Linked DNA regions of Kluyveromyces lactis. The protein of the gene in region 2 interacts with the protein of the main gene of each other region in a biochemical or structural test. Links are inferred from orthologs where the notes say so. Each region holds a gene or a part of one and is shown on either strand. Other genes may lie near its edges.

What was found.
Region 1: the proteins of SYF1 (region 2) and ISY1 form a complex in vitro, tested with the Saccharomyces cerevisiae proteins (2 studies listed by BioGRID). The link is inferred for Kluyveromyces lactis from reciprocal best matches to the Saccharomyces cerevisiae genes SYF1 and ISY1.

The regions. Positions count from the first base shown.
Region 1 is NC_006042.1:1,549,950-1,552,815, reverse strand, and holds ISY1 (Isy1p), read left to right. Parts: upstream 1-1,579; coding exon 1,580-2,293; downstream 2,294-2,866. Other genes in the region: GDA1 (guanosine diphosphatase), read right to left, coding at 1-1,238; GTA1 (Gta1p), read right to left, coding at 2,489-2,866. UniProt on the Saccharomyces cerevisiae protein: Involved in pre-mRNA splicing and cell cycle control.
Region 2 is NC_006037.1:177,911-182,531, forward strand, and holds SYF1 (mRNA splicing protein SYF1), read right to left. Parts: upstream 2,945-4,621; coding exon 548-2,944; downstream 1-547. Other genes in the region: AFG1 (Afg1p), read left to right, coding at 1-428; VMA8 (H(+)-transporting V1 sector ATPase subunit D), read left to right, coding at 3,364-4,194; KLLA0_A02013g (putative aminopeptidase), read left to right, coding at 4,416-4,621. UniProt on the Saccharomyces cerevisiae protein: Involved in pre-mRNA splicing and cell cycle control.

The DNA.
Region 1 (2,866 bases), on a different chromosome or scaffold from region 2:
TAGAAATACGAGAACACATATAGATCACTTGTTTCTTTGAAGGTGTGGACCAACGATGGTTGATGAATACCGTTGAATGAGCATGGAGGTGTGTTACATTTAGCGTCTTTGTTTAAGATCTTATCGGCAAGGTATCTACACTGTGGACCAGCCGGAACCTTTGGACCCTTGAAGTTGACAGTATAAATTTCGTCATCACTAATCTTAACTTTCTCGCCTTCAGCAGTGGTTCCCGGAGGTAAACATGGGGAGCTCAATTCATAAGTTCTTGCAGTTTGACCCTTAGTAATGGTTCCCGAGCTGATCGCAACGTTGACCAATTCAGTGTTAATCTTATTTCTACCTTGCATCAAACCATATCCCAAATGAGAAAATTGATATAGAGTATAATCATGACCACCGAAACTTAGCTCGTATTTATGTTCACCATCAACCATCTTTTCATTAGGAGGGAAACTTGGCTCGAACACAATTTGAGTAGAACCACCACCAAGATCGAAAACAGCTGCCGTTGGTAATTTAGAACCAGCGCCAATATTACCCAACAGATAGTTTGCAGTGACCCAAGCGTAGACACCTTCTTCCTCACCATCCATAATAGAAACACCATCTCCATCGACCACTGGGAATGGATAATCCTGTTCCAAATGTTTACGAACTTGTGCCAAGATCTTTGAAGATTTTTCATCACCCAACATTCTCAAACCTGCGGTTGCCTTAACTGCAACAGGCGTACAATTTCTCTTATCCTTTGGAACCGCATCCATAGCAATTTTCAATAAAGGATCCAAGGACTTAGCGGCTCCCACAGCATCGATATCGAAACTAGATAGACCAGGCTTCAACATCTCGAAAGTTTCATTAATCAAAGTTGGTGGTTGGGTACAAACGTCAAATTCATACACATGTACACGACTGCCAGTAGAACCGGCATCAATCATAACCACGTACTTATGACCCTCAGTACACTGAGATTTGGAAAGGGAATTGGAACCAGATTCCAAATTCTGGGATGTGTGGTCTTTGGCTGTTTGCTTTTGTGAATCCTCATTGATATTTTGACTGATTGGTGAAGAAGCACCAGGAACTTTTAGCCCATCTGGTGTGTCGACTTTATTGGAGTTCGCCAATGAACCAACTTGTGGAGATGCTGACGACCTTAGCAAAAGAAGCAACATCAAAGCAGTTAAGGCCCCGATGAGGAACCTATAGTTCCTAACCACAGAATTGATGTGCATCTTTTTTTTTGATTTTAGTTATGATTCAGATTATTCTCGCCGTAGAAACCAGCAAATGAACACAGCTATAAACCCTGAATATTTGGAGTGACCAACGAAAGCTTTCTAGTAGATCAGATCGCGTTGCCCACGGAATTTATAGCACTGTTTAATCTGTAACTATCTTGTCGTCTTCTATCTGTATAGATTTCATGTTATTATGTTTTTTTTATGTTGACAGATATTAAGAAAAGATGAAAGGACATGAAATAAAACTACAAGAACCAATCCCAAAGAAGAAAACCAGAGAGTTAAATCGATGATTATACGGGATATCGAGGTAAAGAAAGGGCGAAGTAACGATGAGTCGTAACGTGAATAAAGCGAACTCTGTTCTCGTGCGATACCAGGAGCTACAGGCTGCCGAAACCGGTGGTTATCAGGATTTTTCGCGGTTGAAAAGACCTACCAGGATCAATAAGGTAACGAAGTTGGATGAAGCACTTCGATGGAGAAACGAGCTTGTGAAGGAGATAGGTCAACGTGTGACACAGATTCATGATCCATCGTTAAACGAGTCTCAAATCACGGAAATAAACGATGAACTCAATAAACTATTCCAGGAGAAGGGCAGATGGGATTTCCATATCAGAAATAAGTTAAAGGGTCCAGATTTGAAGAAGAGGAAGCAGTTAAATACCACAGGCGGAACCCTCATAGATGGGAAAAGGTATTTCGGTAGAGCTTTAGAATTACCAGAGGTTCAAAAATTATTGAGGGAATCCAAGGAACAAAGAGAGAAGGAAAGAAGTGGGAAGGAAAAGAAAGCGGAGTTGCAGAGGAAAATCAAACGATGGGAAAGTACATTGAAAGACGACTATTTTGTAGGAAATAACAGTGATGAACTTCTTGAATATGAGAAGAAACGTACTGGCTCACTTCGATCAACTATTCATTCTTCTGATCGGGACCCTTCTTTTGTGATACCAAATTTTGACGTTCCATCCTTAAAAGATGTCGAACTTTGGTTGGTGCAAAGAAGAAAGAATGAGTTAAAGAAGCAACTCGGGTTGTAGTAATCGGAGCTACGAGAAGTTAGGCTTTAGTATATAAGGGGAATGATATTTATCATAGTTGTACTATATACGCTTTTAATGATTGCCTCTCATATCCACAGCATGACGTTTTATTCTATTCTTATGAATGAAAATGATGATACCAACCAAAGATTAGTAAGTTATAATAATATTGTCAACTGGCTGGTTGAAGGTTTAACTAGCCTGTGAGTCATGACTTGGTAATTTAAACAACTGTGTCCCTCTGGCAAACAGTTTAGACATTCGACGAGTTGAACTTTCCTTTGGTCTCTCTGTTGCAGGTTCGCTAGGTATTTCGACAGGCTGGTTAAACACCCACGATTTCTGCTGACTATCAGTTCTCACATGGTTGGAAGAATGTGGTGAAGCAACAGTGCTGTCATTCCAGATGCTGTGGAAGGATGGCGAAAATGCCGTATCAGGCACAGAATGCATGCTTTTAGAAGGAATTACCATCGGTGATGATGCTGGACCATTGTTCAGTGCTGACTGGAAAGAGATAACGTCATCATTTTGAGGATCGTTAAGAACCCCCAAAATGTTTCTATCGGA
Region 2 (4,621 bases):
AATTATGTGGAGAACCTTTGGCTGCTGGTGACTATTTAACTTTGGCTAACTCATTCAAGTCCTTTGTTGTCACAGATTTGCCATACTTAACCATATACGTACGTGACGAAGTTAGACGGTTCATTACATTCTTGGATGCAGTTTACGATAACGGTGGTAAATTAGCTACCACTGGTGCAGATGACTTCACCTCACTATTCGTGGAACCAGAAGATATTGTCAACGACTATGAGCTTAAACCAGCAGATCAAATGAAACATGAAGATGAACCTGAAGTAGAGGATGAATTGGTCAGTAAACACGGATTTTCTAAGGATATTGCCAAAAAAGCACAGATTTTCGCATTAGATGAAGAACGGTTTGCATTTGCAAGAGCCCTAAGTAGATTATCCCACATGAGTTCAACTGATTGGGTCGAAAAACAGTAAGATACTAGTGTTTTTGTATGTTACACGTCATCAAAGAAAGACAATACGACATCTTCCAAAACAAAACATAAGAGATTGATCGATATGCCATTATCAACTTTAATCAATATATATCCATTTTATAGACCTAAATCAATTTCAGCCGTATTTGAGTATCCTTTATCTTCTGCGCTTGGTGGTCCGCTTCCACTAATTTTCGCAGTTGACGCCCTAAATTCGATGCTATCTGCATGTCTGGATACTTCCTCTGTATTTACTTTCATTGTGTCCTCTAGGAACCTACGTGCTTTTAGCATGTTCTTGAACGAGTCTTTTGTACCGTGCATAGTTTCGAAATTCCTCCAGAAATCCCAAAGTTCTTCATTCTGTGCGGGCTTCAGTAATTTGCTCCCGTAGTCTAACAATGCTCTACAACGAGCAACCTCATTACGCGATTCTTCTAAGATAGCAAATGGAAGTAGAAACTTGATTGCTTTAGAATTGGGCAATGTTTCTATACATTCTTCATATAGTTTTCTGGTGTGATTGACGTCCAATTGTTTTTCACTTCTATTGATGCATTCTTCCCATAAAGTACATTTACTTTCAAGATCCGAAATATTCTTGGCTCCTTTGTGCAAAATCTCGACACTTCTCTCGTGGAAACCAAGGTTTAACTCAAAGTCGCTGTACTTTTCAAAGAACGAAACACATGCCACTCCTGAAGCTGCAAGCTTAATAGCAGATTCAAAAATATCTCTTTTTTGCTCTTTAGTGATATCAGCTTTGAGTGCCACATCCAGATATATATCCCAAATAGACTTCGATACGCTTGGAGGAAAAATCTCAACACTCCTTTCGAAAACAGCCAAAGCTTCTGCTTGATGGCCAGAAGATTCATTTAATAACGCATAATTAATAAACATGGCTGGTGTTGCTGCCTTGATGAGTATTGCTGTTTCATACGCATTTACAGCTGTACCATAGTTTCCTTTGACCTCCAATAAGTCAAGGTACATTGCCCATAAGCGTTTAGATGAGAAAATTGCTGCTTGTGCTGGCGATTCTCCTTTCTCAAATTTTTGTAGGAGTAATTCATGATTATCTGGTATTTCTAATACAACGGACAAAACTTTTATGGCATCGTCAATGCTTCTTTTTAGTCTGTATTCACACCAATATAACCAAACATTTTCAAGATCTACTAAAAATTTGAAAGGGACGTTAGTGGCTTTGTCCAGCAAGACCTCGGATTTTTCAATATCCTCTTCAAAAAGTCTGCAATATTGACACCATAATTCTCCTAATAGCCCTGGAGTAGTCTGAAGTCTATAGTCCACGGTAAGAACAGCATCTGCATAAACTTTAGCTTTATCAGAGATGGTATCAAAAAGCTTCACTCGTTCTAGCCACAATTTGATGTTGTTGGGTTCTCGCCTCAATTCTAAGTCGTTTAATCTAATAGTGTGGTTTTTTATTAATGAGGTTAGAGTGTCGGCATGTAGTCTTATATTTGCGAACAGCCGTTGCTTTTCTGAATTATCGTCTTTCATCTTTTGAATTAATTCTTGGGTCAATAGCTCCTCCATACGAATCCAAAAATCATATAATACAGAAAATTCGATAATGTCTTTAGTTTCGCTTATAACTTTCTCTAAGTACAGCTCAGCTTCCGTTATTTTTCCTTGACGTATCAGGTTAAATATCAAATATGTCTTAAGTTCACCCTTCTTGAAAGGGAATAATTCGATACATTGGTCCACTACCGCAGCAACCCCTGCTGAATTATCCACAAGAATCATTGAAGTGATGTAACTAACGTAAAGTTCAAATAAACTTGTCTGAGATGGCTTTAAATTAGGTGATAGATGTTTTTCAAATACTCGAACGATCGTGCTCCAATCATGAGTCTTAAAAATGTAGATCAATAAAGGCTCTATGTCGTCACAAATAAGTGAATATCTCTGTAGGATTGAGGAAGACCAGAGGTCTGTATCAAAATTCGTCGAATGCTCTCCGTGAACAAAATAGTAGATGGAATCCTCTAAAGAAAGTTCATACCTCTTGTTGTCTATTAACAATTCATTGATAATGAAATCGATGACAACACGCCATATTGCTTCATGGTACTCCCACGACATTGATCGTAGCGCTTTTCCAAGCAGTTCTCTAATCCTCTTCAAATCCTTAAACTGTATTACCCATTCCATATACATAATCCATGCATCCCCAACTTTGCCACATGATGTTAAGCACTGTTCGAATAGTAACGATATCTTATTGTATTCATCTTTGTGCCTGAAAATATCACAATCGTTCAATAATTCTATCCTCCATTTCAAGAACTCTTTCCATAGATGCCAGTCGTCCTTGATCTCCTTCAAACAACGTTCGTATAGCCAATCTAAATTCAACTCATCGCCTGCTGATCTTTTAGTTGCCAAATATCTCGACCATGATACAGCATTGTCTCTTTCTCTAACAACACCATACTCAAACGGAATATCTTCCTCCTTGACAAATTTATCTATTTCCATCGAAACATATGTCTCTCGCAGTACCTGGTGGAAAAACAGTGCACTAACTTTACCTTAGATGGAGCTTTAATTGTAACTCATCTCATTAAACGTTTTGACATATCACCGTAAATGAAATAATATCTAAATTTCGAAATTAACCAATTTTCAAAATATCTGAAATATAAGACATTCAATCATTTGACGAAAGAAAGGTAGAAAAGGGGGGCATATATCAGCTGGGGCAGAACGTTGCAATTAGGCTGGCACTGACAAGTATCCAACCTGGAACACATTTACTTGTAATCGTTTGCTTTTTCTTTGAAAAGAACTGTTTTTCTACTGTACCAATCAGGTGAGTTTGGTACTAAGCGTACTGATAACATATTACAGCAAGGAAGGAACGACTTCACTCCTAGCATCTTGAATTTTATCGAAAAATGTCTAGTAATAGGGAACAGGTTTTCCCCACTCGTATGACCTTGGGTCTTATGAAGACTAAGTTAAAGGGTGCTAATCAGGGTTATTCTTTGTTGAAGAGAAAGTCTGAAGCATTAACGAAGAGATTCCGTGATATCACTAAAAGAATAGATGATTCAAAGCAGAAGATGGGCAGAGTGATGCAAACAGCTGCGTTCTCTTTGGCGGAGGTCACATATGCTACAGGTGAAAATATAGGGTACCAAGTTCAAGAGAATGTTGCCAATGCAAGATTCAAAGTTAGGGCCACGCAAGAAAACGTGAGTGGTGTGTACTTGCCTCAATTTGAATCATTCATCGACTCCAACATCAACGACTTCAAAATGACAGGTCTAGGTCGTGGTGGTCAACAAGTTCAGCGTGCTAAGGAAATTTACTCAAGGGCTGTTGAAACACTAGTTGAATTGGCTTCGTTACAAACGGCTTTCATTATCTTGGACGAAGTTATCAAAGTTACCAACCGTAGAGTGAATGCCATTGAACATGTGATCATTCCAAGAACGGAAAACACCATTGCTTATATCAACTCCGAGCTAGACGAATTGGATAGAGAAGAGTTTTATAGATTGAAGAAAGTGCAAGAAAAGAAACAGATTCAAACTGCTCAGTTGGATGCTGAAATGAAGCAGAAGAAATTAGATGAAGCAAATGCTGAGTCTGAAGGTAAACCAGATTCTCAAGAAGCGACCAAAACTGGCGTAGAAGCTGCCGACACACAAGAACAAGAAGAACAATCTGGCCCACAAGTAGAAGCTCTGATTACCGAACAAGAGGAAGATGTCATCTTTTGATCTTTGGTTTCTCCCTTTCTCCATTATTGTATATCAATGAATATCATTTTCCATAATATGTACACTAAACTTCTAAACAACGTTAGTTCTACTTAGATGTCAAAAAAACCCTTTTTCCCTTCAGAAACAAGTGGATAAATACTGTATTAAAAGGGACAGTACAAGCATCTACCGGTGTATACTTTGCTTCAACTCCGTAGCAAATATCAGATTGGCTAGTTATGAAGTTTGGGTGGTTCTTGTTGGCAGCTTCTGTGGCAGCTTTGCCATTTGATAGTTTACATGTTCTTGAGATCGAGGAAGGTAAGACTATTATGGTACGAGAGACCGAGAAATGGTCTCTCAAGAGGAAAGGAGTGCAATTCATGGATATTACCAATTTTCCCAAATTACTTAAGTCCAAAGATGAAAAGGCTGTTGTGCCAGT